Linked DNA regions of Saccharomyces cerevisiae S288C. The protein of the gene in region 1 interacts with the protein of each later gene in a biochemical or structural test. Each region holds a gene or a part of one and is shown on either strand. Other genes may lie near its edges. The genes, in order: LSB3, ERT1, LAS17 and ACF2.

What was found.
Region 2: the proteins of LSB3 (region 1) and ERT1 interact in a test that uses a peptide from one of them, tested with the Saccharomyces cerevisiae proteins (one study listed by BioGRID).
Region 3: the proteins of LSB3 (region 1) and LAS17 interact in a test that uses a peptide from one of them, tested with the Saccharomyces cerevisiae proteins (2 studies listed by BioGRID).
Region 4: the proteins of LSB3 (region 1) and ACF2 interact in a test that uses a peptide from one of them, tested with the Saccharomyces cerevisiae proteins (one study listed by BioGRID).

What each region holds. Positions count from the first base shown.
Region 1 is NC_001138.5:197,980-205,265, forward strand, and holds LSB3 (Lsb3p), read right to left. Parts: upstream 5,455-7,286; coding exon 5,408-5,454; intron 5,314-5,407; coding exon 3,981-5,313; downstream 1-3,980. Other genes in the region: ROG3 (Rog3p), read left to right, coding at 1-1,055; PES4 (Pes4p), read left to right, coding at 1,895-3,730; HIS2 (histidinol-phosphatase), read right to left, coding at 5,764-6,771.
Region 2 is NC_001134.8:696,688-704,301, reverse strand, and holds ERT1 (Ert1p), read left to right. Parts: upstream 1-4,358; coding exon 4,359-5,948; downstream 5,949-7,614. Other genes in the region: VVS1 (Vvs1p), read left to right, coding at 247-1,713; THI2 (Thi2p), read left to right, coding at 2,460-3,812; YBR238C (uncharacterized protein), read left to right, coding at 7,000-7,614. UniProt on the Saccharomyces cerevisiae protein: Transcription factor which regulates nonfermentable carbon utilization. Activator of gluconeogenetic genes like PCK1. Involved in restriction of Ty1 transposition.
Region 3 is NC_001147.6:671,956-679,817, forward strand, and holds LAS17 (actin-binding protein LAS17), read left to right. Parts: upstream 1-3,983; coding exon 3,984-5,885; downstream 5,886-7,862. Other genes in the region: cleavage polyadenylation factor subunit SYC1, read right to left, coding at 1-456; putative dodecenoyl-CoA isomerase DCI1, read right to left, coding at 2,397-3,212; 40S ribosomal protein eS30 RPS30B, read right to left, coding at 6,236-6,424, 6,836-6,838; FYV12 (Fyv12p), read left to right, coding at 6,917-7,306; SER1 (O-phospho-L-serine:2-oxoglutarate transaminase), read left to right, coding at 7,402-7,862.
Region 4 is NC_001144.5:425,601-433,775, reverse strand, and holds ACF2 (endo-1,3(4)-beta-glucanase), read left to right. Parts: upstream 1-1,759; coding exon 1,760-4,099; downstream 4,100-8,175. Other genes in the region: SPE4 (spermine synthase), read left to right, coding at 51-953; RMP1 (Rmp1p), read right to left, coding at 1,003-1,608; DPH6 (diphthine--ammonia ligase), read right to left, coding at 4,390-6,447; PUT1 (proline dehydrogenase), read right to left, coding at 7,160-8,175. UniProt on the Saccharomyces cerevisiae protein: Cleaves internal linkages in 1,3-beta-glucan.

The DNA.
Region 1 (7,286 bases):
CCTTACCGATTCAACTTTTTATTTCACCATTTGTGGCACTTTCAATAAAACCATTGTCATCCTCGAATTTGTATTCGCTTTTTAGCACCACTAACCAGAAAGACGAAAACTCATCACAAGAAGAGGAAGAGGAATATCTGTTTTCTAGATCAGCATCAGTCACAGGGTTGGAATTATTAGCGGATATGCGTAGCGGTGGCTCTGTTCCTACCATTTCAGACTTGATGACGCCCCCAAATTATGAAATGCACGTATATGATCGTCTTTATAGCGGTTCTTTCACTCGCACGGCTGTGGAAACGTCTGGAACATGTACTCCTTTGGGAAGCGAATGTTCGACTGTCGAGGATCAGCAACAGGATTTAGAAGATTTACGTATACGGTTGACAAAAATTAGAAATCAACGTGACAATCTAGGGCTACCACCGTCTGCCTCGTCTGCTGCCGCTTCCAGATCGCTATCTCCATTACTAAACGTTCCAGCACCAGAGGATGGCACGGAGAGAATCTTACCTCAGAGTGCTCTTGGTCCCAATAGTGGCTCTGTGCCAGGAGTACATAGTAACGTATCACCTGTTTTACTTTCAAGATCCCCAGCCCCAAGCGTGTCAGCCCATGAAGTGTTACCAGTGCCCTCGGGCTTAAATTATCCAGAGACTCAAAACCTGAACAAGGTTCCATCGTATGGCAAGGCAATGAAATATGATATCATTGGTGAGGACCTTCCTCCTTCCTACCCTTGTGCGATACAAAATGTGCAACCAAGAAAACCCAGTAGGGTACATTCCAGGAACTCTTCGACAACATTGTCATCTTCTATACCAACTAGCTTTCATTCCTCTAGTTTTATGAGTAGCACTGCTTCCCCTATTTCCATAATTAATGGCTCTAGAAGTAGTTCTAGTGGGGTATCTCTTAATACACTTAATGAGTTAACTTCGAAAACTTCGAATAACCCATCCAGTAATAGTATGAAAAGGTCACCAACAAGACGGAGGGCTACTTCTTTAGCTGGGTTTATGGGAGGTTTTCTATCAAAGGGTAACAAACGATAGTCGCCGATATTGTTTCGGCTCGTGCATTAAGCTTGTATAGTTTCATATAGAAAGTGATGTATATAGCATTTACGCACTCTAACTGGCATTTTAAAGAAAAAGGGATAAATGCAATGTTTGGCGTGCGGCAGTATAAGTTCAAAAAAATCCACTGCATTGTTGAAAAGAGTCAGGTCGATCCTGCTATTGGTTTTCAGTTTGAGGGATCCTTTGATTTGCTAGATATCATAAGATAAATGGTCCACCATAAAGTAATTAAATCTTGAAATTAAATTCTTATTCCATTAGAGACAGAGAAACTATTCATTGTACATTCTCCAAATGTGGTGATATAAACACTACATTCGCTAAATTACATTATATTATTTCGAGCTTTGTCTTGTTTATATTTAGTTACGTTGGGATCAAGTTTTAAAAAACTAGATCTGGAGTGACCAAAAAAAAAATACCCAGCGTAAGGTAAATATTATGGATATGCTTTGGAAGAAAAGAATTTTGAGACTTACACATTATTCGGCACAGTAGGTACTAGAAAGCATAGAATCACATTCGCCTTTAAAGACATTCTTTTTTCTTGCTCCTTCTATGGACTGCGACACAATAGTTGTTTTTGTGTCGTACCGAAGAAAAAGCCTTGTGCAGAAAGCAAAAATAGTACACTTCTAGCCTTGATTACCAAGAGTTATGACAAAAATTTGCAGTTCAGAGTATACCTTAAAAACTGTTCCTAAGGTCAAATAAAGAGGAAAATAATCAAACTAATTATTCATTAATTGAACGAACCAATAATAACGAGAGAATCAGTATCACAAAAAAAATTTCAACCTACAAGAGGAAACATGTATTCTATTTCAAACAAAAAACCTTCTATACTCAGTATGGTTCCCCTGAATATTTTGAAAAACCAGGATTTGAAAGTAAAAAAAGATCAAGAAAAGAAAATATCATTTAACCCCGTAGTTACTCCTATTAGGCCAGACGACTACCACGAAAAAACATCCAGATCGTCAAGTTCGAGCCATTCTGATTCACCTGAATTTTTGAGAATTAACAACAACAAATCCGGTCACAAGAATGGAAAATTGAAAAGTTTTGAAAGTAAAAAACTAGTTCCGCTATTCATTGGTGACCTCCATGAAACAGTTACTGAAGAAACTTTAAAAGGGATCTTCAAAAAATATCCCTCTTTTGTCTCTGCTAAAGTTTGTCTTGATTCAGTGACAAAAAAATCACTGGGCCATGGTTACTTAAATTTTGAAGACAAAGAAGAAGCTGAAAAGGCTATGGAAGAATTAAATTACACGAAGGTTAATGGTAAAGAAATTAGGATTATGCCATCATTGAGGAATACAACGTTTAGAAAGAATTTCGGCACTAATGTCTTTTTCTCTAATCTACCTCTAAATAATCCATTATTAACAACAAGAGTATTCTATGATACGTTTTCTAGATATGGTAAAATTCTATCATGCAAATTAGACTCTAGGAAAGATATAGGATTTGTTTACTTTGAGGACGAAAAAACTGCGAGAAATGTGATCAAAATGTACAATAATACCAGTTTTTTTGGTAAGAAAATTCTATGTGGAATACATTTTGATAAAGAGGTCAGAAGTGTTCCAAATTTTGAAACACAAAAATCACGATTAGATGCGGAAACAATTATTGAAAAAGAGCAATCTTTGAATGAGAAACACTCCAAGGGGAATGATAAGGAATCTAAAAATATTTACTCTTCATCCCAAAATTCTATATTCATCAAAAACCTTCCAACAATAACTACAAGGGATGATATTTTAAATTTCTTCAGTGAAGTGGGTCCAATTAAGTCAATTTATCTATCCAATGCCACTAAAGTTAAATATCTTTGGGCATTTGTTACATATAAAAATAGCAGTGACTCAGAAAAGGCAATTAAACGCTACAATAATTTTTATTTCAGAGGTAAAAAGCTTTTAGTAACCAGGGCACAGGATAAAGAAGAAAGAGCCAAATTTATAGAATCTCAAAAAATATCTACACTTTTCCTGGAAAATTTAAGCGCTGTCTGCAATAAGGAATTTCTTAAATATTTATGTCACCAAGAAAATATTAGACCGTTCAAGATTCAGATAGATGGATATGACGAAAATTCTTCTACATATTCTGGGTTCATCAAATTCAGGAATTTTGAAGATGCTACGAGAATATTTAACTTTTTGAATAACCGTTTAGTAGGAGGAAGCATCGTCACGACATCTTGGGAAAGACAAAATAATGCACCTAAATATCATGATGGTTATGGAATGCGCAATATACACACCTCTTCTCATCCACAAATTACCCCATATTACCAGTACTCACATGCGAATAGTTTGAACTCCCCACACATGAGAGATCTTTCGTCAATGAATAGCAGCACAAGATCACTAATAAAGAATAAAAATTTCAATAAGAAAGTTTTGGAAACATTCGAAAAGCAAGTAAGAAGAGGTATAGATTTCATGAGATTTCCAAGTGCCACTAGAGACGAAAATGTGCACGGAATAGCTGAGTATATATTCGACACTTATTGGAATCGCGATGTGTTAATATTGGACAAATTTTTATCGTTGCTAAATAGTAGTCCATATCATGAAGGTGTATTGCAAAAACAAATTGAAGAGGCTGCAAGCTCGTTAGGATTTAAAAGATGAATGTCTCTTTGTTAATTTAGCTAGAGTTTTCCTTATTTATTTTTTTTATTTACACTAATTCAATCTTTTTCGTTATATTTAGATATTATTAAAAATTATTATTATGGAAAAAATTCTTAAAAGGATAGACAGAGGGACGCCGTCTGCTATATGATATGTATTTAGGTCCGAGTGCTGATAAACTGTAAGGCAAAAGGTATAAGTGTAAATCAATAACGTTTCTCGTATTCTTTACTCTCCTTCAAATTTTTTAAACTAGTTCAACGTAATTTGCTGGGAATATACCTTCTCTACCGTTGACTCTTCCGGTCCACCAGTCATTTTGAGAATCTGATTTTTTCAAAATTGTGATCACGTCACCCTTTCTGAATGGTAAATCTCCGGACTCTTCTCCTGCAAAGCTATATAATGCCACGGCCTTTGGAGAAGACGTGGATGGGGATGTTGGAGCAGTGAATCTGCCCTGACTAGTTTGCGGTGTTGAAGCGGACGAGATTCTAGATTTAGAAAATCTGTTCGACAAGTCATCGACTTCACGGTCTTTTGTCCTATCTCTTCCATTCCCGCGTCTATACCCGGATTCATAATCATCATCATAATCATCGTATTCATCATCAGCCCAACGATTTCTTGAAGAACGAGCCCTTGACTGAGCAGTTCCTGATCTTCTGTGGCTGGCATAATAACTTGAAGCTCCAGATGGGTCATCCAATTTACCACCACTACCGCCACTGTTGGTAGGAGCCAGTCTTGAATTCCTTGAATAGCCAGTACCATAATCATCATCGTCATCATCATCGTCGAACGTATAACGAGAACCGCTTTGGGCTCTTCTCCTTGTGGATCTTGTGTTAGGTCTAGTGGAGGAAGCATCTGTAGAACTGAATGAACTAGGAATGTCATTATAGTAATCGTCGTCGTCATAGTAATCGTCTTCGTCGTCATCGAAACTGCCACGACCACCGTTGGAGGGTCTGTAATTAAACGCCCTGGACTCTAAAACACGAAACAATGGATCAACTGCTGGAGGCGGTCTTATCCTACCAGACAAAATCATTTTCGCGGTACAATTGTCACCATAAAATTTTCTGTTAGCCTCTCTTCTTTCTATAATAGCCGAACCTTCCACAGAAACCCCTGCAAATAGACCTTTACTCTTAGAATAGGCAAAAACTGCAGCCACACCACCGGCGGAGGCTGATGCAGCTGCTTCTGCACTTCTACCAAGAGGCCCAGCAGAAACGGAGACGTTACCACCCAACGTGATGGTCCCAAATTCAGAAAACGACTTAACAGCATCCTGAGTATTTAAAATGAAAACAAAATCAGTCAATTCTATACCAACCATCCCACCGGCACCAGCACCTGCCATGGCAATGGCAGATGGAGCTGACCAAGTACCATCCTTTAATCTTGCGACAATCACACCAGAACCAGCTCTACCTGAAAATAGAAAACCTGCTTTTAAGATCGTTATGATAGCCAACCCTTTAGCTCTTTTCAAAACGTCTGGAGGAATGACTTGGTCCGCACCAAAAACTTGGTTTGGTTTGACAAAACTAGCCAAAATCTTCGCTGCTTTTCTTTATTAATTGTTTATTACTAGTTAGTAAATGATGAACAAATTAAGGGAGAACTTTTTTAAAGGTTTCCCAGCCAAACCCGTATAAAACATACTTTGTCTCACTCTTTAAACTCCTTGGAATAGGATTGTTAATACCCATTGCGTGTGATACAGCTTTTGTTTTTGATTTCTTTGCCACCCGTGATCCAAAGCCGTTCTAGATTTCTTCGATAGTTTATACTCTTTCATGTTGAACTTCCAGATGCGGCCGAGTCGGCGAGCAAACAGGGTGCTGCTACTAAACGAACAATAAAGAAAGACAATTTGGGCACCCAATATAAAATGAGCAGTCAATTCAATCAATTCAGTGTGAAATTTTTTTCTTGGAAAGATCATTCACTTCTACACAGCTGTACATGAGTTTATATGACAGTTTTTTTTTATGTACATCCAGTTCAAGATAATCAGATTATATATTGGCCCAAAAGGGATCATTAACGAATTGCGAAATGGGTAATCTCTTTACAGTTAACAGATTCTCTGGTGATTGGCTTTCCTCAAGGTAGCAAATATACTCTAATTGTAGCACGTCTACTATGTATTTCTTTACCTTGTCATAGCACACACCCACTTGCGCCACGCCGTGTGCGTCATCACTTAGAACAAATCTGGATCCACAGTGCTTCTTGACCAGATTACATAAGGTTTTGCTGGGGTACGGCTCCTCGAGGCGCTTTCTTAATGCGGACGTATTGATTTCAATTGCGCCGCCATAGGAGTCTATAAATTGTAAATTTCTTACAACTGCATCGTATATTTCTGGCCATTCACTGATGACGTCCAGTGAAGCTACAGGAACTCCGGTTTCTTCGTTGCAGTTGCCCGATTTCTGGTTTACTAGCATGTCATTGGGCAAAAATAATTTGTAAAGGTCGAAGTGACCCACGACCAACGGTTTAATATTGATCAGCATTTCGTACTGTGATTGGAAGTAAGACAGGAGAAAATGTTTCAAATTATCATTGAAGGAATGCAATGAATTGTACCATTGTTGTTGGTCGAAATCAATAGGGATCCCGTTGACGTGATGGACCGAACCCACACAAAACTTCAAAATATCATTATTCTCCTTCATGAGTCGCTTTGCATATTCGATATGAGCCATGTCACAACTTTCGATCTCCATTCCTATAATGAATTTAGTCCGCACATCGGGTCTATCAGCATAACGAGTCTTGATTTCTTGCGCATGACTCATGAAATTCTTGAACGATGTTTCTAGCTTGGTTATGACTTCCTCAGGATTCTTGCCCAATGACTGCTCTTCGGGGTATATAAACTTGGCCTCAATTCTTGGTATGTGCTCTGTCAAACAGTACGTGTGAAAGTTGAGGTTGACCACTTGATCGACCACGGAATCCAAAGGGTCCGTACCGTGGGCACTATAGTCACCGGAGTGTGAATGGTGTGAGTGCATGACCTCGAGGATTTTTACTGAATTGTACGTATCAAGAAGTACTAAAATGTGTTTGAAAGGGAAAGATTGTACGGGAAATGGAAAATGTACATATAATATCCAGTATCATTTGAGTTGATAGAGATTATCTCTATAGATAGAGAGATTTGACAAAAAAAATAAAAAAATTTAAATGGACGAGTCCGGAATCGAACCGGAGACCTCTCCCATGCTAAGGGAGCGCGCTACCGACTACGCCACACGCCCGAACGTTTGTTGAAATCTTCCAAACAGAAATGATACAGGTTTACTTTACAGCAAGACATTAGTAGTTTCATTAGCTTATCAACATGTATGAAACCGGCAAGATTGAAAGCTTGATTGCCCTTGACGAGCTACTCAAATGTGTAAATATCTGCACAATCAGTTTACACTCATGTTTCCGCGCTTTTACCCTCCATCTAGATTAAAATCTTATATGGATTATTTGGGATAAATAGCATTTAGTAAATCAAATTGATAAAAAAAAGAATAGC
Region 2 (7,614 bases), on another chromosome or scaffold:
ACACTTTTGGTAGAGCTGTAACGAGCAATGATACGCGGTCTGTAAAACGAACTTGCTTGTGTAGTCATACGTCGTAGGCGTAATGTAAGGTTGTCCGAGAAAAGATGGGAAGTGTGAGGGATGAAATGGATTTCCCTTAAAGTTGCTTCCTGATTAAGGGAATAACAGGAGAACAAAAGTTGCTGAATATCTTTCTCTCTTGGAACAACAACAAAACACAGAGACTAAGGCATAACAAACTAAGTCATGGCTGAAACTGAAAGACTAATGCCTAACGGTGGTTCCCGCGAAACAAAACCGTTAATTACGGGCCATTTAATCTTGGGCACGATAGTTGCTTGTTTGGGGTCGATCCAGTACGGATACCACATCGCAGAGTTGAATGCGCCTCAAGAATTCTTATCGTGCTCCAGATTTGAGGCACCAGACGAAAACATCTCATACGATGACACTTGGGTTGGGCAACACGGACTCAAGCAATGCATTGCGTTAACCGATTCTCAATACGGCGCAATTACGTCTATATTCAGCATAGGCGGACTGTTTGGGTCGTACTACGCCGGTAACTGGGCCAACCGATACGGAAGAAAGTACGTGAGCATGGGCGCCTCGGCCATGTGCATGGTTTCTTCTCTGCTGCTTTTCTTTTCCAACTCCTACTTGCAGTTGCTATTTGGCAGGTTCCTGGTAGGCATGTCCTGCGGCACCGCCATTGTGATCACACCCTTATTTATCAACGAGATTGCCCCCGTGGAGTGGAGAGGCGCTATGGGATCTATGAATCAGGTTTCTATCAATCTAGGTATCCTGCTGACCCAAACCTTGGCACTCAAGTACGCAGACTCCTATAACTGGAGGTGGCTTCTCTTTTCCGGATCCGTGATTGCGGTAGCGAATATTTTAGCTTGGCTCAAAGTGGACGAATCTCCAAGGTGGCTGGTGAGCCACGGATTCGTCTCGGAAGCTGAAACTGCTCTGTTCAAGTTGCGTCCAGGAACGTACCAACAAGCGAAGCAAGAAATTCAGGATTGGCAGCGTAGCCATGGGCACAACCGCGACCCGGAGTCAAGCGAAGAGACTCATTCAGGACCCACACTATGGCAATATGTTACCGATCCCTCATACAAGAAACCGCGCACAGTTATACTCGCCATCTTGTCGTGCCAGCAATTTTGCGGCATCAACTCTATTATCTTCTACGGTGTAAAAGTGATCGGCAAGATTCTACCGGACTACTCGATTCAGGTAAATTTTGCCATTTCCATCCTCAATGTCGTTGTCACTCTAGCAGCATCTGCGATCATCGACCACGTCGGGCGCCGTCCATTATTGCTTGCCTCGACTACGGTGATGACCGCCATGTCGCTGCTGATCAGTGTAGGTCTCACCTTGAGCGTATCCTTTTTACTGGTCACGGCCACTTTTGTCTATATTGCCGCATTCGCCATCGGTCTGGGACCCATCCCCTTCTTGATCATTGGTGAGCTATCCTACCCGCAGGATGCCGCTACAGCTCAAAGTTTTGGTACTGTGTGCAACTGGCTTGCCACCTTCATCGTCGGATACCTCTTCCCGATAGGCCACGGCCTCATGGGCGGCTACGTATTTGCGATCTTCGCCGCCATCGCTGCCATGTTTGCTACATATGTGTACAAGCGTGTACCCGAGACAAAGGGCAAGACTACATACAGCGAGGTTTGGGCTGGCTACTGATCTGTAGCCAGTCATATATACCTAAGCAACTATTTTTTACTTCTTTCTAGCTATTCATCTGTTTTTTATTTTCTTCTTCTTCTAGTAACGAACGGCTACATGAGTATATGCACTCATTTAGTTAGTATCTATGTATATGTACGGAACTAGGCAAACCAAATGGATTGCTGTTGTATGAGATCCGTGTGGCGGAAACCATGACTACCGCTTGTACTGCCGGGGCCAAAATAGCACACGCGCGTCATGAGTCGCTCACGGGCGAGCGTCTATCTGCATATTTTCCTGAGCCCAATATTCGGTTCTGCGTCTTAGCGGCATAAATGCATCCGGCAGGACTGCCGAGAAAAGGAATATACAATGGCAGCCCTCTTGGCGCATTTGATGTATGCGGATTTCCAACCAATCTGCGAATGCATCCGTGCCAAAATGAAACGGCATTTAGCTTGAAAGAGTCGGAATTCCTGCATCAGATGGGTACCATTTTACCACAGTCTTTTGACTCACGCAGAGTACTCGCGTGCAATTGCTTGCAGGTATAATATATACATATATATATATATATATATATATATATATATATATGTACAATTTGTATGACAAGTGGGTGCACCTTTCTCGGTCGGAATTATATGGGGAACTAATACTACGGGTTAGAGCTATAACAATTTCTGCACACTTTAAAAGCGTTTTCATTTCATTTCACCACGTATATATATAGCCTATATATATATCCGCACTAGAACCAAATGGTCAATAGTAAGAGGCAGCAGAGAAGCAAGAAAGTAGCGTCATCCTCCAAAGTGCCCCCCACCAAGGGGAGGACATTTACTGGGTGCTGGGCATGCAGATTCAAGAAACGCAGATGCGACGAGAATAGACCAATCTGTTCACTGTGTGCCAAACATGGAGATAATTGTAGTTACGATATCAGACTTATGTGGTTAGAGGAGAACATCTACAAAGTACGCAAGCATTCACTGATCAGTTCATTACAGGCTCGCAAATCGAAATCGAAACCATTGTGCCAGAAAATCTCAAAATCAAGGTTTAAACAAATGACCCATTTTAGACAACTATCACCCCCGACAAGTGACTGCGAAGACAGCGTGCACGAGGCAAGTAAGGAAACTACGCTTCCTAACGATAATACATTCACCATAAGCGTACGGAGATTGAAGATATACAATAACGCTGTGGCCTCTGTCTTTGGTAGCATGACAAATAGAGATTATACTCAAAAGCGCATAGACAAGAAGTTGGACGAATTGCTTAATATGGTGGAAAACGACATATCTGTGGTCAACCTCAATTGCTCCAAACACGGGCCTTACTCAGTTTTCAGGGCCAATCCGGCTGCAGTTACCTCTGCTCTTACAGATCAGCTGCCGTCGCCGGGTCATTCGATGTCGTCAGCAGAGGAAACCACTACTGCAGCGCTGTCATCGCCGCCAGAAGACAGCACCTCTTTGATCGATATTATCCAAGGCAAAATTTTCGGGATCCTATGGTTTAATTGCTACGGGAACATGATATTGAACCGACAAGAATACACGACGTGGTTCATCAATAAGATGAGGAACTCGTTGACCACGGAATTCATACGCTTCCTTGGGAAAATAATTGACGACCCGGACATCAATATGGCCTCGTGCCTGTTCAAAGAGTGCATCGCTCGTTGGAGTTGTGTCGATTGGCAATCCATAGCTATAACAATGCTGGTCATCATTCATGGATATACCTGCCCCAACTTGACAAAGCTTCTAAGAGTGTGGTTTCTCCAGCAAAAGCTATTGAGATTTTCGATGTATCCGCTGGTCAACTTTATCATAAACAATACACAAGATTTAGACGTCCTGTACCATTGTAATGGATTGCTAGGGAATGCCGACTTATTCGAGGATCCCTACCAGGACGAGCTTACGTCGGAGTTACATGTCTTGGTCACGGAGCGCCTAGTGAATAGTTGGAAAGATACAATATTGCAACAACTTTGCTCATGTCAAGATACCACACTTTCATGTTCCCAACTGCGGTACTGGCAGCTACAACTGAAGTGTAATCAACAATTTTACAAGGATGTATATGCCATGCAGGACTAGGCTTATTGAGCCTTCCCTTCACTCATTTCAAGAAAAAAAAAGCCAAAAGCTTTGCTTGGATATTATACCCATTTTTAACGACATATTTTTTCCCACTACTTTAGATAGAAATTCATGATATTTTGTTTTATATTATATATGTATATATATATATGCACGAAAAAAAATTAAAGTTTATCACTGGGAGATAGGGTTTCCTATCTGCCAGGGTGAAACGTTTATTTTACTGATTTCTTTGTCTTTACTGACATTTATCGGATATCTATCTATCATTCTGAGCCTATGCTTTTTGTTAGCCGTAGACTAAAAAAAAAAAAAAATTGAAGGAAAAGAAATGAAAAAAGCAAATGAGTTGCAATTTTAGTATATTGTAAAAGAGTAACCACATAAAAAAACTAAACAAGAGCCGGTGCAACGGCATTACTCTCTTAGATAAAATTGCTAGTTATATAAAGTCAGGATACTCTTGAGCTATTTTTATCATTTCTTTTGGGTACAACAGACACACGAAGGTATAAAAATAAAATACATTGATGAATCATCGTGATGTGCACTCCAGATGAAAACGATTACAAAACATCAACTGACCCAGATACATCTGCAAATACAAATCATACTCTCGAAAAAAAGAAGAGAAAAAAGAGAAAAAACACAAACGTGGCATGCGTGAACTGTTCGAGATTGCATGTGTCATGTGAGGCCAAAAGGCCATGCTTACGATGTATCAGCAAGGGCCTCACGGCTACATGCGTTGACGCTCCAAGAAAGAAAAGCAAGTACTTGGCTGGAATACCGAATAGAGAGCTCCCAATGAACATACAACCGGACCTTCCACCCCGCAAGATCATGATACCCATTTATAACAACTCCAGCAATAGTAGCCTCAACGTAAATAACATGGGAGAACAGCAAAAATTCACCAGCCCACAACATATAGTTCACAAAGCTAAATTCCTATCGAATGCTGCAGATTCCGAGTACTCTATTCTGTCGAATATCATCTATCAAGACACATTGTCTAACAAGATCCCTATTGACATCCTGTACTCCAACACCAATTCCACATCCAACTCCACAATAGGCAATAGCAGTAACAATAGCCCTACGGGCACAAATACAAGCCCTGAAGAAACAGAAATGGAGAAAATTCGCCAGTTGTACAGCGAACAGCGAGCAAACATACCCCCACATCCGTATCCATCTTCCAATCAAAACGTTTATTCTATTCTACTGGGACCAAATTCAGCCAAGATTGTAGCTTCGCAAGTTAATCTTTTCGCGAACCATTTCCCCTTAGTGCCCGTTGATTCAGCTGATAATTCCTTAAACTTTAAAAGATTATTGCCACGGGACCCATCTGAAAAGAGCTCCCAAATTAATTGGGACTCAAGCATAAACCAATATTACTTGAACAGCGAAACGGTAACATTTCCCGAGTTGGCTATCCCCTTAAAGCGGAGGAAAAACCATTTGGTCTCTGTATCCCTGGAAAGCTGTTCACCAGACGCTGCCAACATCAAGAGCAATGTAGAATGGGAACATTCATTACGTTATTCTACTCCAATGGAAATATACACCTCCATAAATGCCCCCTTTTCGCATACACCTGGATTCCACCATCTTTTGGTGTACCTAAAGCATCGATTCAACCAGCAGGATCTGGTGAAGATGTGTCGGTCCATTGCCGAATTCCGGCCCATTTTCATTGCGTGTTCTGTAACTTTAACCGAGGAGGACATGATTTTTATGGAGCAATGCTACCAAAGAACTCTATTAGAATATGTAAAATTTATTGCACAAATCGGTACCCCGACATGTATTTGGCGAAGAAATGGTCAAATTTCTTATGTCAACGAGGAATTTGAAATTCTATGCGGATGGACAAGAGAGGAGCTACTAAACAAGATGACTTTTATCGTAGAGATCATGGACGATGAAAGTGTACGCGATTACTTCAAAACGCTCTCTAAAGTTGCATATAGGGACTTCAGAGGATCTGAGAAGATGAAAGTTTGCAGGCTCTTAAGCCCCATCAAGGGCAAGATAATTCATTGTTGCTGTATGTGGACATTAAAAAGAGATGTCTCTGGTTTGCCCCTCATGATCTTGGGTAACTTCATGCCCATACTCAATTGACTTTTTTTTTCTTTTTTTCTCATTTTACTACCTCGTATTATATAATACCTATGCATAGACCAAAAGTAAGTCAAGAACTGTGTTCTTTTAAAAGTGTTAACAGATTCCAGCAATTTTACTTGAAGCCTTGACCAGTTTCGTAGGCGTCTGCTCATTCTGGTCGATATCCAGAGGCTCGAGCACATATAACGAAGGGCCCCTATTGTGTATATGGCGGCCTTTACGAATCTTCCGATATTGGGTAGCTCCGTTTTTCTTCCCTTTTTTTTTTTTTTTTTCTTAAATTTCTTCTTCTTTTTTTGCTCTTCGTTTTATTTCACTCACCTGTTGTCGAAAAAAACATCAGGCGTATACCATCAAAAAACTCAACCAATTGAGCTAGTTTCACTTTCTGTACGCATGAGTTTCCAATGTCTCACAGGGCATGTCTCACACACCACCGCCTTCCACCTTACATAACGAACTGCGGAAAAACAGCATGCCACATGGTACCTAACTGGAAAAATAGCAGCAGTCCTCTTCATATTGTTTGCTTCGTTGTTCATTTTCTCGAAAAATTTCTCTTCTTTTCTTGCCTTGATAATATGTAAAAAAGCTTAAACTTTCAGGCAACTTTTCCCATATTGTTTTTCCGTGTGAAGGGACGAGTGCCTGCAGTGAACTGCTCGTACAAGAGAGGCAATTTCATAGATCCTCTGATTCTGCGGTAATTTCTCAGAGGACAGCACTCTGCACGAGCTTTGTGTGTGCACCAAAAGAAACGGGTTTCTTTCGGAGAAAAAAAGAAAAGAAAATTTTTTCAACCTTGCTCAAGTTATGCCATGGACATCTCGAAGAAAGTCAAAATAAGGCAATAAAGAAACTTTGTCGTTCAGCACTGAAGTTACATATCGCATTGGTTATATCTATAGAAACCCTTTTCCTTTCATTCTTCTCTCAGTTTTTTTTCTTGAATACAGTACGTTCTATAGTTGGATCGAGGTTTTAAAAACGTGTGATTAGCTTGATATTTCTTACTCTAATTGCTTTTCTATCTTGCAAATCTGATCCTATGATCCGTTTAGCTCAGCAAACACAAGTACTGAAGGGCAAACCCCCAAACCAGTTTGTTCCACATCCGACAAAGAATTCGCTGACTCATCCAATGAAATTTAACGGTACAATCGCTATGGAGCACCATGAACACAACTATGCCATTCCTTACACGCCTGCTACTTTTAACAATCCAGCCCTCGCTACTTATCAGGTAAGCCCAGCCAACCATTTTGTTCCTCACTTTGGTGGCAACATTGGAGCCAACAACAACAATCATCTAGCTCAGAATAACAGCAATAATAGTAACAACCATCATAACAATAACCGTAATCATCACCACAATAACAATCGTAACCATCATCAAAATAACCATAATCATAGCAAGTATAATAACTCCAATCAAGGTAATTCAATTAGCCCAGACTCCCCATGGTTTCATAAGGTTTGTGCCTTCGAAGATTGCGTTTCACAGACTCTTTATATGTCACAAACTCCAAGGCGTCAAAACATGAAACACCATTCAGAACATCCAAATTCTAACGCTAATCCATTATTTTGGGATTCTATAGGTAGAGCAATGGGGCTGTATCATGATCTACTCACTACACCGGAATTAAATTCTGATCGTGTC
Region 3 (7,862 bases), on another chromosome or scaffold:
GGCTTTACTCTTGCCTATGGTGACGCTACCATTCTTTACATTTTCTTTTTTTCCTATTCCTTCATCGATGCTAAAACTGTCTCCAAATTGTTCTCGAAACAGATTTTGCAATTCTTGGATCTTCCAAACGTTATGGTTTCTCTCTTTCAATTCTGATTCAGATAGCACGTTCTTGTCGCTTGCACACAAACCGATGATCATTATTACTATACTATCGGCAATTGTTTGGCTTATCATTGACTTCTGTGTCCACTCAATTGAAACGCTGCTCGCAGATATTTCTACTTCGACGTCACCCAGCATTAACAGTTTCGTGGCATTTTCCGTTGCAGTTGTTTCTATGCAACCGAACGTTTGGACAATATGAAGGTACAAATCATTAGTTCGATCTGTCCCACTGTTATTTAGATTAATTCTTTGATGAGTTCTGTCACTTTTGTCCTTGGGTAAATCCATTTTACGTTATAATGCAAATTACGTGAGCCGCTCTTGTTCAGTCATAGTGCAGACATGCAATTTTATCTCCGTTTCCTCTTATTTTTTTCTTGTTTTTCTTGCTTTCTTCCTTTCCCGAAGAAGAACATCCGAAGTTAAAAAAAAAAATCTCAAATTTGAGACTATTTTATTCTATCGTTGAATGAGTGAATTTTGTAAAGAAGTAAGTGAATTGATTAGATAAAGCATGTTTATCACATAAAGTCTTTTTTCATAGTAGCAACGATGCTTGATACCATTATGATTTATATCTTTTATCCCCATCGTCGGTTATCTAAAAATTAAAATCAAAAAAAATACATAATCATTGTATACTACGATATCGCCTTTTCGGCTAGATTTCATATGCATCCCTCTCGGAAAACAACAACAGCACATATGCATAAAACCACTACTTTTAAAGACTCGACTTTGAGTGGCCTGGGTTACACAACTTGCGATATTTCGATGTTTTCTTCCCTAAGCGTCGCAGTTGAACAAAACATCGGCTAAATTCTTTTCTCTTAGCAGAAACTTCATAGAGTTCATTAATAGTGATGGCTCCTTTTAGGCTAGGGACCTTTTTCTGAAGTTCTTTCTGTCACTATCCTCCGCAACCGCCTTTAAACTATTGAATGATTACTTTGCTAGGCCAATTTTTTTCGATCATTAAAATAAATTCTGAATATACCATGAAAATAAAGTTGCGCTTGTGACCTTTTTCGAGAAACACCATTTCACTTGATTTTGCATAGTTATTAGCGAAAATAGCACGATTTTTTTTTTTTCGATGCATTTTCCCTTTGCTCTCCTTACCTGCAAGGTTAGCGCAAGCAAAATGTCAAAGATGCGTCTAATATAAACATGTATATATAGTCCAAGTGCATTCAAGGAATACTATCGTAACAACTTTTTTATCCTCCTTCGATTATGCAGTATCAATTGTCGAAGAAAAAGCTTAGGTCACAATATGGTCGAAGGACGGCATATCATGATTCTAAGAATGCCTTTCTTTCTAAAAAGATGACGTTTGGTTCTATTTCAGTTATTCCCAGTTTGCTACCCATTTTTCTTTTCATTCCTCGAATACTTCCAACAAACATATAAAAATTTTCGTAATCGTTGACCTATTTTGGGGAGTTCCTTTTTTCTTCTTTAGAACTCCCTTTGGTTATATTTATTACTACGCAGATTTCGAGTAGTTGTCACATCAAACAGAATAAAAGGGGTATTGTAAATTTACTGACTTTTCCATCAATCCCGTATGAATGGATGGCTTACATATCTTGGAACGCAGACTTCGAAATTAAGTATTTAGGAGTGAGAATGTGCGTTAGCATTTTGTCTCATATCTAAATATTCAAGTTTAACTTGTATTATTTGTCCTCAGTACAAGAGGTGTACGGCTTTTGAAAGTCCACTCCCCCATTTTTATCCGGATCTCTGCCGCTGGATTCTATTTTGTCACAAAGTTTGTGCCTTGGAGAGCGCCGTTTGCCAGCCCGTCATCAGTAGGACCCTTTTGTGCGGCTGCCAAATTTTCTAGAGATACCGCCGCGGCCGCCTCTTGTCTGGAAGAATTTGCATTGCCAAGGAAATTGATTCAGTTCATTAAGTACAGTTGTGAAGCACTTTAGTTACTTAACATGAATGACAGTTTTATTAGGTGTAAAAAAAAATCCTTTTTTTCAGAGAGCTATTTGTAAATATTATATGAATATTAAAAAACATCCTTTTTGAGTAAGAATTCCTATGAAACAAAATGGAACAATTTCACTTATATTGTAAGCGGATTTTACAACAGATATAAAATATTGTGCGCCAACATTAAAGTATTAAAGAACCCGGAATTTAACAATTGCAGAAGTATGATCGTGTAGTAGATTTTTTATGTTAAAATCCTATCTCTAAATGCTATATTATTATAACTTGTGGCGCCTGTTTCCCTCTTGAAGCTGTTTAAATCTTTTGAATGGCTCGCCGCTTGCCCAAAAAGGCAAGGTTCCGTTAGTCTCCATTGCTTGTGCTTTGATAAGCTTCTGTTTCATTTCACTGTGTAACAATTCTTTCATACCTAGTACACTTTTCGGATAAAGCCCTTCTAAATTCTGCTTTATGTCCTGAAGAACTTTTTCATTGAATGTTTCAGTATTTGTCAATTGATAATTTTTTGTAATAATAGTTCCTATCAATTCTTTAAATAGAACTGGTGTGCTGAAAATCATATGTTCGTTTGCAGAATTTATACCCAGTTTTTGAGTTAAGGTAACAGAAGTTCCCACTTCTGCGACAAAACCGAGATTGCTGAAGGGAAAAAGAAGAAATACTGAATCGTTTTGCGAGTAAACAATGTCACAAAGAGCAACTAGCGATGCGCTAAGTCCGATGGCCGGTCCATTCAAACAGCACACCAGAACCTTTTTATGGATTGCAAATGCGTTCGCCACAAATATGTTAGGAGAGCTTATAGCAGATACCAGCTTTGAGACTTTCTCCACTTCGCTTGTAACGTCTCCATCGTTTAGCTTGTTAACTGCTGAAAACTTACCTCCCGAGGAGAAATACTTGCCTGAGCTTTGTAGAACAGTAAACAAAACAGAATCAATATCGTTTGCCTTATGCAGTAATAGTGCAATGTATACAAAATCCTCGAAAGTTAAAGAGTTCAAATGTTTTGGATCAATTAATTTGATTATGAAAAAGGGACCATTAATATGGTAGCACACACGACTGCTCATAGTTAGAAGATAACTCACTAGACTTAACACCAGAAAATCCTACTCTGTAATAAAATAATCCCGGGGTAATGGATTGGATTTTTCTATCAGGATCGTTTACGTATATATAATACACTGTCGGAGTTTAGCGCGCTTACAGCCGCTACTTGTGGAGTCCTTTTTTTTTTTTTTTTTTTGGGGTTTCAGACATCCAGTAAAGAATAGAAACAAGCAACAAACTTCAGAACTGAAACAATGCTTTTTTAAGTTATCGCCTAAATATATTCAAAAAATATAGATATGCTAGATTTTCAATTATACCAAAGTTCATATTTTCAAAATGAATGTTAACAAAAAGACAAGTTGATGGCCCTTTTTCATAAAGTATGCGTTTAGTTTCAAGTAACGCCGGCTGACGTGGACGATTTATCAAAGAAGTGGTTTTGGAATACTCTTCTTTTGCAATTAGAAAAAAGGCAAAACTAAATGCAATGCAAGCAGTTGCCCATGGTACTTGAAATTGTGTCTCTGGTTTAAAAGATCTATGATATAAGTCTTAACTGATCTTATAGTTGTTTTTTTTTGAATTTTCCAAATAGTTTATATGATCATTGAATACGTGCGAGACGTCCGAAAAGGGGCCAGTCAATACCTATGAAAAAAAATCATGAATATGTAATAATAAATATTGAATGTAGAATATACATAGTAGAAAAGGAAGTGCTGTAGCGATTGCCATCTCCGCTACAAATTACAGTTCGTTACTTTAAGTGTTGATAGGCGTGATTTAATATGGGACTCCTAAACTCTTCAGATAAGGAAATTATCAAAAGGGCTCTACCAAAAGCGTCGAATAAGATTATTGATGTTACGGTGGCTCGACTATACATTGCATACCCTGATAAAAATGAATGGCAGTACACTGGACTTTCAGGAGCTCTTGCTCTAGTAGACGATCTTGTGGGGAATACTTTTTTTTTGAAATTAGTTGACATCAATGGCCATAGAGGAGTTATCTGGGACCAAGAATTGTATGTGAATTTTGAATACTATCAAGACCGTACTTTTTTTCATACATTTGAGATGGAAGAATGCTTTGCAGGTTTATTGTTTGTAGATATTAATGAAGCATCGCACTTTTTAAAGAGAGTTCAAAAGCGTGAAAGATATGCTAACAGGAAAACTTTGTTGAACAAAAATGCTGTAGCATTAACCAAGAAAGTAAGAGAAGAACAAAAATCTCAAGTGGTGCACGGCCCAAGAGGGGAGTCATTGATTGACAATCAAAGGAAAAGATATAATTATGAAGATGTGGACACAATTCCAACTACAAAGCATAAGGCTCCTCCCCCTCCTCCGCCAACGGCCGAAACATTTGATTCAGACCAAACAAGTTCATTTTCCGATATCAATTCGACAACAGCATCCGCACCGACTACCCCAGCCCCTGCTCTTCCTCCTGCATCTCCTGAAGTAAGAAAAGAAGAAACGCATCCAAAGCATAGTTTACCGCCTTTACCAAATCAGTTTGCGCCATTACCAGACCCTCCACAACATAACTCTCCACCTCAAAATAACGCGCCTTCGCAACCCCAAAGCAATCCATTTCCATTCCCAATTCCTGAAATTCCCTCGACACAGTCTGCAACAAACCCATTTCCATTTCCGGTACCTCAGCAGCAGTTTAATCAAGCTCCTTCAATGGGCATACCACAGCAGAATAGGCCCCTTCCACAGTTGCCTAACAGAAATAATCGGCCTGTGCCACCTCCTCCGCCAATGCGTACCACTACTGAAGGTTCAGGTGTTCGCCTACCTGCTCCTCCACCTCCGCCAAGGCGTGGGCCAGCACCACCGCCTCCACCACATAGGCACGTAACCAGTAATACCCTGAATTCTGCCGGTGGAAATAGCCTCCTTCCACAGGCCACTGGAAGAAGAGGGCCAGCACCACCACCTCCTCCAAGAGCATCTCGCCCCACACCAAACGTTACGATGCAACAAAATCCACAACAGTACAATAATTCTAACCGCCCCTTTGGATATCAGACAAATAGCAACATGTCATCTCCACCCCCTCCTCCAGTGACAACTTTCAATACCCTGACACCACAAATGACTGCAGCAACTGGACAACCTGCAGTTCCCCTTCCTCAGAATACTCAAGCACCTTCGCAAGCCACAAATGTGCCAGTGGCACCACCACCTCCTCCGGCATCTTTAGGCCAGTCGCAGATACCTCAGTCAGCACCCTCAGCACCTATTCCGCCAACGTTACCATCGACGACGAGTGCTGCACCACCTCCGCCACCAGCATTCCTAACTCAACAACCTCAATCTGGAGGAGCTCCAGCTCCACCCCCACCTCCTCAAATGCCAGCTACATCAACATCCGGAGGCGGTTCATTCGCTGAAACTACTGGAGATGCAGGTCGTGATGCACTTTTAGCTTCAATTAGAGGGGCAGGTGGCATAGGCGCTTTGAGAAAAGTTGACAAATCGCAGCTAGATAAGCCCTCAGTTTTACTGCAGGAAGCACGTGGAGAATCTGCTTCACCACCAGCAGCGGCTGGAAATGGAGGCACACCTGGTGGACCTCCGGCTTCTTTAGCAGATGCGTTGGCAGCAGCTTTAAACAAAAGAAAAACTAAAGTGGGAGCTCATGACGATATGGACAATGGTGATGATTGGTAATGGAATGCAAACAAAGATGAAACTACTGTTATAGAAAATATGTAATTTTATGTACTCACTATTAATGATCAAAGTAATTGCTCTTTTTATGTATAGTTTCTTTAATCGGAGGAAATTTTGATATAGGTTCAAAGGCGGTCAGTGATTGAATGATCAAGGTAATAGTCGGGCTACAATGATGGCCATCCCTATGGCCGTTTCAAATGTTTGAGAAAATGATGTATAGTAAATCCTAGATTTTAGCAGTTCGAATCAAAAACCCATGTAAAAAGGGTAAATATTTCCTAATTATAATATTTTTGTTTAATTACACATGTAGAACAATAAAAGTATAGAATTTTAGATAGTATCTATTGGACAGATGGACCTGGGTTCATTCTTCTCTTACCGTTAACCAAGGTAACGTTAACGAATCTTCTGGTGTACAATAATCTCTTGTAAGCACGACCCTTTGGTTTCTTTGGCTTTTCAGTTTTTTCAACCTTTGGAGTTTGAGACTTAACTTTACCAGCACGAGCTAGAGAACCGTGAACTTTAGCCTAAGGAGAATTTGAAAAAAAAAAAATTTTTCATTTAATGTTAGTAATGAGATATTCAGACTTGTGTTATGGAGTTACTGCAACGCAGACGCTAATTTTTTAGGAAAGGTCTATATTCAACATGTTGTGAATATTAACGAGAATAATCGTCCTTTGAAATTCTCGTCTTTCTTCCTTTTTTGTACATTTACATCTCAACATAATAATGATACAATATTTTATTTTCTTTTCATTTTTCAGTCATTATCTACAGGCATTTGATGGATTATTAATATTATCATGGGGCAATCTTTCCTATTCAAAATATTACTTTGATCGTAGTTTTCCCTTTTAATACACCTTCTTCCTGTATGGGGACAAGTTTCCTAAAAAAAGCGTTTCGTGGAGCATTTTAACACAATATTAACGTACCATTTTGTATAATTTGTTTATCTAGTATCTTGAGGAAGGAGTGCTAATTCAGAATCTTCATCCTTAATATTGAAGATTGGGATGAGATTACTTCACCATGGTGAATACGGGACAAAACTAATTGGAGGAAAATGCAGCATAGATGGGAAACTCGGTCACCCTTGCCCGCTAAGCAGAAGACGCAAAAAACATCTGCGCGAAAAAGAAATGGGTCCACAATATGTACGGATGTATGGTCCCAAAAGAAAAGCCATAATAAGGACAGGAAACCCGGATGACGGCATTAATTTACCTGACACCGGCCGAGGCACCTTAACTGCAGCCACAATTTGGTCACGAGCTTACCATTCAAATTATTCTTACCTTGTACGCCCAAAAGTAGTGACTCTTTCTAAGCATCGCGAATTAATGACTACTTTTCTTTTATACGTTTTATATGTATGTATATATATAAGTGCCTTCATAAAATAGACAAAGACATTAAGGAGCCTTTGAAATTACTTAATTGAACAACACAGGTCTAATTAGTTGATCAATCATCGATTAACCATTAGTGATAAGAAACAATGTCTTTGGAAAGAGAGGAACCACAACATTTCGGAGCAGGGCCAGCTCAAATGCCTACACCAGTTTTGCAACAAGCTGCTAAAGACTTAATCAATTTCAATGACATAGGTTTGGGTATCGGTGAAATTTCTCACCGTTCGAAGGATGCCACCAAAGTGATTGAAGACTCTAAGAAGCACTTAATCGAACTGCTAAATATTCCTGACACTCATGAAGTGTTCTACTTGCAAGGTGGTGGCACTACTGGTTTTTCTTCCGTTGCTACTAATTTGGCAGCTGCATATGTGGGTAAGCATGGGAAGATTGCACCTGCCGGTTATTTAGTCACCGGTAGTTGGTCTCAGAAATCTTTTGAAGAGGCAAAGAGATTGCACGTTCCTGCTGAAGTTATCTTCAACGCTAAAGATTATAACAATGGCAAATTTGGTAAAATTCCGGATGAATCCCTTTGGGAAGATAA
Region 4 (8,175 bases), on another chromosome or scaffold:
AAAACGCCGATGAGACAGGCAGGATAAAGTGACAGATTCAGTTATACATTATGGTTAATAATTCACAGCATCCTTACATCAAAGATGGATGGTTTAGAGAGATTAATGATAAAAGTTTTCCGGGCCAGGCCTTTACTATGACCGTGGACTCAATACTTTATGAAGCCCGCAGTGAATTTCAGGACATCTTAATCTTCCGTAACAAGGTATACGGTACTGTTTTGGTCCTCGATGGTATTGTCCAATGTACGGAATTTGATGAGTTTGCCTATCAAGAGATGATCACCCACATTGCCATGTTTGCGCATTCTAATCCCAAGCGTGTACTTATCATTGGCGGTGGGGACGGAGGTGTCTTAAGGGAAGTAGCCAAGCACAGCTGTGTAGAAGATATCACTATGGTAGAAATTGACTCATCAGTGATCGAATTATCCCGTAAGTTCTTGCCCACATTGAGTAATGGTGCTTTCGATGACGAAAGGTTGGACTTGAAACTTTGCGATGGCTTCAAGTTCTTACAAGATATAGGTGCTTCCGACGTCCATAAGAAATTTGACGTCATTATTACAGATAGTTCTGATCCTGAAGGTCCAGCTGAAGCGTTTTTTCAAGAGAGGTATTTCGAACTATTGAAAGATGCTTTAAATCCTAATGGCGTTGTTATTATGCAAAGCTCTGAAAATTTTTGGTTAAATTTAAAATACTTACATGATTTGAAAAATACAGCCAAAAAGGTATTTCCTAATACAGAATATTGCTATACCATGGTTCCAACCTATACATCTGGCCAATTAGGTTTAATTGTTTGCAGTAATAACGCCAATATACCGTTGAACATTCCGCAAAGAAAGATATCTGAGCAAGAACAAGGGAAGCTGAAGTACTATAATCCTCAAATACATTCTAGTGCGTTTGTTTTGCCTACTTGGGCAGACAAGGTCATTAATGAATGATTTATTAGCATTGATATTATTATTTTAAAAAGTCTATTTACTTGTATATTTATCCGAATATGCCATCAATGGCTGATTTGTTCTTCTTTTTCCTTTTCTTTTTCTTCTTACAGTTCTCTGTCAGAGGCTTTGGTATAGACGTTATCACTAGTTCGTTTTCTTGAACGTTGTTGCCAATATCTTCATCTATAATTTCTCCAAGTTCTTCGACATCGTTCACAACCGATTTTGCTTTTGTTCTCGGTAAGTTCTTTATTAAGCATCCACATCTTATAAACTCAGTTTCATTAATCTCCCATAATCTCATATACAGTGCCCTCACATTTGCCAGCAATGTTACTAGTGTACAACCCAACGTTACAAATTGTCCCAGCGCAATTACGCCATTGAACTGCCAGTACCATCTCTTTAACTGTCTAAAAAGTGCTCTCTGTAATAGCCTGTGCAACTTGACCCATTCAACATCTTTAAGGCGTTTGGCTTGTAATCTTCTCGAGCTAAAAAGCGTTATTATTTGTCCACAATTTCTTTTCATCTCATTGAACGATCCATACCAGCTAGCCGCTCTATGTTGATTTTTGTTCCTATGGTTCAAGAGCAATATTAACCGATATTCTTGCTCCAGAGATCGTATCACATTATCCATCTCATCCATTTTGTTTCTGCTCTTTTTTTTTTTGTGGATATATCATTCTAGTACTCATTTCTTTGAAGTTTTTTTCTTGGAACCATAAATAAAATTCATGAATTTCTGAAAAGTGCTAGTATCATAAAAACAAAAATAAATAAATACGAGAAGTAAAAAGATGTGTTACAGTAGGCAAGCCATTCCTCCACCTGTTCCTAATAGACCTGGCGGTACTACCAATAGAGGACCTCCTCCCTTACCACCTCGCGCAAATGTTCAGCCACCAGTTTGTTCTTCTGAGAACTCCAGTAAACCTCGAGAAAATAGGGTGGCAGGTGAATCACTGCGCACACCAAGCAGTTCTAACCCTTTAGCTGACAGCCAGGTGAATAGTGACAATATTTTTCAATCACCTGTCCTTTCTAACTTAAAAGCTCCTCCTTCCGTCTTCAACAAAGTTCAACACCCGGTACCAAAGCCGAATATTGATGATCAATCTGTTGATCCATTGGAGACAAACAAGTTCTACACAAACATGTTATTAGACGATAATACACAACCTATATGGACACATCCTTATTCAATTTGGTTTTCTCGTGATCCAGAATTGTTTGGTTTGGCCGCCAATCATACTTTAGCGTCTCAAAGGGTTTTTGATACAACTACAAATCCTCCCAGATTCTACTTCAATCCCACAAATATAAAATCATTTGTATTCAAGGCCAGGGAATTTGTCTCTTCAAATGATATCAAGCTTGAATTCCGGGATATGAAACATATGTCCATGTGCTTACTAATGTCTTTGAGTAGTTCCCAGTTTATAGAATTCCCGCTGGTTCAGGGGATGGGCTTTGTCACGGCTATTTACCACGATTTGGGTTTTGAATTAAGAAGCGCCGTTGGTTTCAGGAGCTTAGAGCGCATAAGCGTGAATGAAAGATATGGTAAATATAATATACAACTTGAGAATAATAGGAATTGGATACTTTATTTGACCTCACCTGATTACTCTTTTCCACAAGATTTTCAAATTTCATTACTCGACAGCAATACAATAATATCATCTCATAAAATCAATGGTCTTATCTGTCAATTATCTGCAGACTCCGTCCCCAGTATTGACATGGCAGCGGGCTGTTATCCAGTATACTGTGACCTATCAGGGCAAACTGTTGATGAACATTTCACAAATTACAGATTTAACTATACGGTTGCAGGCTACTCGCAGTCTGGAACTACTCTAATGTATGCTTTACCACATCATAAAGCGGCATTCACACCAGAAATGCAGGAACGTGAAATTGCCTCAAGCCTGGATTCCACAGTTAAAGGCTTAATGACTGGTTATCTCACAAACAGTTTTGATATGCAGGTTCAAGTACCTCAAGAATTGGGCTTTGAACCTGTCGCGTTATCTTTGAATAAGAAGGCAGATTACAGTCAAGAAAAGCTATCTAAAATTCGGGAAGCTGCTGTTCAAGAAGTTCAATTGAGTGACCCTCAACAAGAATCAAACATAGATTCTATGTATTTCTCTGGTAAGATACTTGCAAAGTATGCGTGGATTCTTTATGTGACACATTACATCCTTCATGATGAAAATTTAACAAAAGAATTATTATCTAAACTGACTATTGCAATGGAGAGATTCATCAGCAATCAGCAAGTCTTACCTTTAAATTACGACGTTAGTTGGAAAGGCATAATTTCATCAGGCTCTTCTAGCCAAGACTTTGGTAACTCTTATTATAATGATCATCATTTTCATTACTCTTATCATGTCATAACGGCTGCCATTATCTCTTTAGTCGATTCTGATTTAAGTGGAGTTACTAACAACTCCTGGTTAGAAAATAATAGAGATTGGGTTGAGTGCTTAATTAGAGATTACTCTGGTGTTGACAACGATGATCCGTACTTCCCTCAATTTAGGTCATTTGATTGGTTTAATGGCCATTCATGGGCCAAAGGACTATTTCCAAGTGGTGACGGTAAAGATGAAGAATCTACTTCAGAAGATGTCAATTCTTGCTATGCGATAAAATTGTGGGGGTTGGTAACTGGAAATTCTAAGTTAACTGACATAGCGAACTTACAACTCGGCATCATGAGAAATGTTTTCCAGAGCTACTTCCTATACGAAAGCAATAATACTGTCCAACCGAAAGAATTTATTGGTAATAAAGTTAGTGGTATTTTATTCGAAAATAAAATTGATCACGCCACGTATTTTGGCATGGAGCCTCAATACATTCATATGATTCACGCCATTCCTATAACATCAGCATCTTCATGGGTCAGAACACCAAATTTTGTCAAAGAGGAGTGGGAAGAAAAAATGCAGCCGATAATTGATCAAGTGAATGACGGTTGGAAAGGAATAATCATGTTAAATATGGCTCTGCTTGATCCAAAATTTTCGTACGACTTTTTCAGCCAACCTGATTTCAACAGAAATTTCCTAGACAATGGGCAAAGCTTAACTTGGTCTTTAGCTTATTCAGGTGCTTTTTCTTAGGGGTCAGAAATATATACAGTGTTAGTAGCATGGTACAAGTGTTACGATAAGGTATTTTATAGAATGATCATTTTTTTATATGAATATTGGTTCCTAAACCATCATCAATAATCAAATTATTACAGAACACACCTTAATTGTGCGGCGTATTCTAAATTTTACGTGTTCACAATATGGTGTTGTTCCTATGATTTGCTAACATATTTGGGATCTGTCTATCATTTACACCGCCAGGAGCGTGGACAGCGTATATCTATTAAGTTTATAAAATATAAGGCCTACATTTGGAGTTAGGAACGAATATGCAACCCAAAGCGGTGTTCTTTACCACGGTAATCAAAAAGTTTCTCCACCGGATAGTATCCAATGTGATGGTGGAAAGTGATGATTTCTTTGGGATTATAATAGAGGGTAATCTGGGCTGATTTTGGGGTTTTTTCCAAGATAAGTTCTAACTCCTCTCTACTATCTACAAATCCCGTAATAAAGTTTCTATTATATCCAAACGCACTAACTGTAGTGTTATGAAAACCTTCAATATTCAAATTCAATTTCTGGAATACGGTTGAAACATCATCATTCTCTTCCCTTTCTTTCTTGTCGGAATCATTATCGTCCACTATTAATCTCTTACAAGTAACACCACCAAATTCTGCAACAGCGCCTCTAGGTAATTCAGAAATCTTTACAAGAACTAGGCATTTTTCAACATCATCAGATTTGTCCATCCATAGATCTGATCTATGATTCATATTTGAACAATAAAACGCCCATGTTTTGATGACAGAGTCGAGAACCGATTCGTCTGAAATATAGCATGTCATGAGTAACTTTTCTTGAGCTCCTATTGTTTCACACAAAGTATCAAAATGTTGTAATGCCAAAACTATTTGGTCAGTGAGAGGTGTTCCTAATATTTCCATTGACTGCGGTACTAGTCCGATTTGCCCACTGATAAAACTGACTTGGTTTGCATCATCGTTTAACCAAGTACTTTGGGAATATGGTCCGATATTACATGGAGCCCAATATGAACGGCCTTGAACATGTAGTCCGCCCTTATTCTTGTTGATTTTTTCTTTGCCTGTATTTTTTACATCAACAACAACTGATAACTGTACGTGACAATCTTCTGGCAAGCACTTCGAACCTACGCATGCTCTTGATGGTGGCAAAGGTCCGTATTTTGACAAATCTAAAAATTCATTGTATATTTTGTTGATTTTTCCGAAATTAGACATATCTCTAATTAATAATGACGCAGATAAAATATGATTCCGTGGAATCTGGTTGGAATGCAGAATGTCGGCTAGCTCAGTAAAAATATCTTCACTTTGCTTCTCGACCGTCTCACTTTTACGTGATTGTAGGTTAGAGATGTACAACTTATCATTGGTTTTATTGATTGTCGTTTGTGGTAGAGCATTCGACATGTGATTTTCAAATCTTTGTTCTCCTGTTTTAGCTTGTTGCTTTGGCAAATTTTGGGTTAAATCTTGCCAATTATTACCAAAAATCGAAGGTACAGGTAATTGATCTAATTGGTTGAGTAAAAAACTTTTGCTCAAATTACGCGGTTGAAATTTTACCTTTAACCTTGCATTGTGAACTTCACCATCGCTACATTTGACAATATCAATTAATTCCAAGTATCCATGTTGGAAAAAAGGGGCATCCAAGACCATTGTCTCAAACTCCCCACCCTCTCCACAGATATGAACTTGATAAAGTTGGTTAAGTTTCTGTAACACCGGTTGCATCATAGGCAAGGACATTCCTAAATGTTTCTCGTTCAATCCAATTGCTGCCACCTTGATTATCCTGGCGTCAAATTTATTTCCTGAATTAGTATCGTTTTCAACATTGTTAACATCCTTGGACATAAGGCACATTTCACCCATTAGTTCGGCTTGATCCCTTTGCCATAAATAGCTTAGCACTACTAGACCCAATCTGGAACAAACATTTTCCACTCTGGTCCTCTGGTAAGACGATAAGATGGCACCTACACTAACAGCTTCTAAATCTGGAATTTTATCTTTGACAGTTCTTAGAAGTTCAAATAGTTCTTCAATTTCATCATCCTGAGTAGCAGTATAATTCAACTCGACGTTGTTAGAAGTGTTCCGTAATATTGAGCGTCTAAATAGTGGAACACCAATACATTTAGAATAATAGTCTATTAAGTCATGTCCTACTGTTTGGAACATGAAAGAGTCTAATTCTTGCTCTTCTGATTCTTTTGGGTATATATTTCCCAGGGCAATCAATTCATGGTTGTTCTTCAGGCAGTGAAAAATATTGTAGAACGAGTCCTTCCCACCTGATATTAATGCTATAAACTTCATGATACTGACTTATTGGGCTTTGAATTTTGATATAGCTTTATCAAAGATTTCCGTTTGAACTAGCTATTCATCATCCATCAGATATAAGTGAAAAAAAGCTTCTTTAATAGAAGCTTAAAAAAATTCTCCGCGACGGGGAATTGAACCCCGATCTGGCACGCGACAAGCGCCCATTCTGACCATTAAACTATCACGGATAAGAAACACTGGAAAACTATGTATCCCAAAATCCCATACGTTGGTTTACTAACACTACTAGATGTATTATTCATAGGTACCCCAAAATCCTTACAAAGAGACAAGGCTGAGTGTATCAAGCAAAACCGCTTTAAATCTGATGTTCTGCGCTTTCTCCCTTTGATTAGATTCAGGTCTTATGTAGTTTATAGAAGATGAGTACCTTTCTTGTGCATAAGAGTTGATAATAAGCCTGACGACGACAAGCCACTTTCCTACCGATTTAGGATTGGCAAAACATCTGGTACTATTCGAACCCATAATCAATAGGAAGAAAGCTTTACCAACAGATTGTTATTTAAGTGGTTCAAGTATATTAACTCTTGATATCCGTGCGTTTACTTTACTATTAGTGTTATTATCATTACTTATATATAATATGTATAACTAGAACATCAGAATTATGTATGCATACTTTTTTTTTTTTTTGGTTTTTTGGTTTGTCTTTGAAATTGGAGTATATATTATAGTCCTCTCATAGGCCTACTCTTTTTGGAATCGACTTTGCTATGGCCTTGATTAATGGCCAGCCATTATCAGATCTCACAGCATCCCCGTTTTCTTGCAATCTTCTCAAAAGATAATCTTTAGTTTCCAATGGTGGGCCCCATGGGACATACTTGATTATGTTTTTAGCGCCATGGTTGGTAATTAGGTCATAGGTAACATTATCTGCCATACCTAGTAATTGCCCCAACACAATGTTCGATTTGGCATAAGAGTTGTCTTGGGTAGATTTTAGCAAATTAGTAACGAGCATTTGGGATTGGTAATTATGAGAGGCGACAACCAAGTGACCAAAATAAGAATCCTCGCCATTGATGATTAAATCATTGACAACTTGAGTGATGATACGATCGTAATTTTCGTCAGTGCCCGTTTTATCGCCAAAGATAATTTGGTTACGGTTTTTTTCAGAATGAATATAAGCACCACGAACCAGTTTCAGCCCAAGCTTATAGCCGTTTTCTTGGGCCAGCTTCAATTCGTGCAAAATATGGTCACCAGAGTCCCTTAGGTACAACTGCCAAGTACCGACACATGATATCAGTTTAGATGAAGTGGGATTGAATTTTTGAAATAAGATTCTCTGTAATTCGTAAACACCATTCTCCTGCAAATCATACTTCTCAGCGTCAATAGTGGAAACCATAAATGGGGCCTTTCTTTCAGGGTACTTCTTTAACAAAGATTGATTTAGTTCAAAAATCTCTTTTGTAATCTTAGAGCAGTTCTCGATCAGCTGATCCCTTTGAGCCTTGTAGGCGGGATTACTGAAATTGTACAGAACCTCGTGAGGGTTATCGACCAAAGCAGAGGGTTTTAGAGCGATATAACCTGGAGCAATGTCATTGATTGGCTTAGATTCCAGCTGGCCAATAATATTGGGCAGTAGGATGTTGTGGACAGAGCTGATTGTTTCCTTGACAATTTGGTCTACTGGAGTACTGGACAAACTCTTTGTACCTTCGGAATTTTCAATAGTTAATG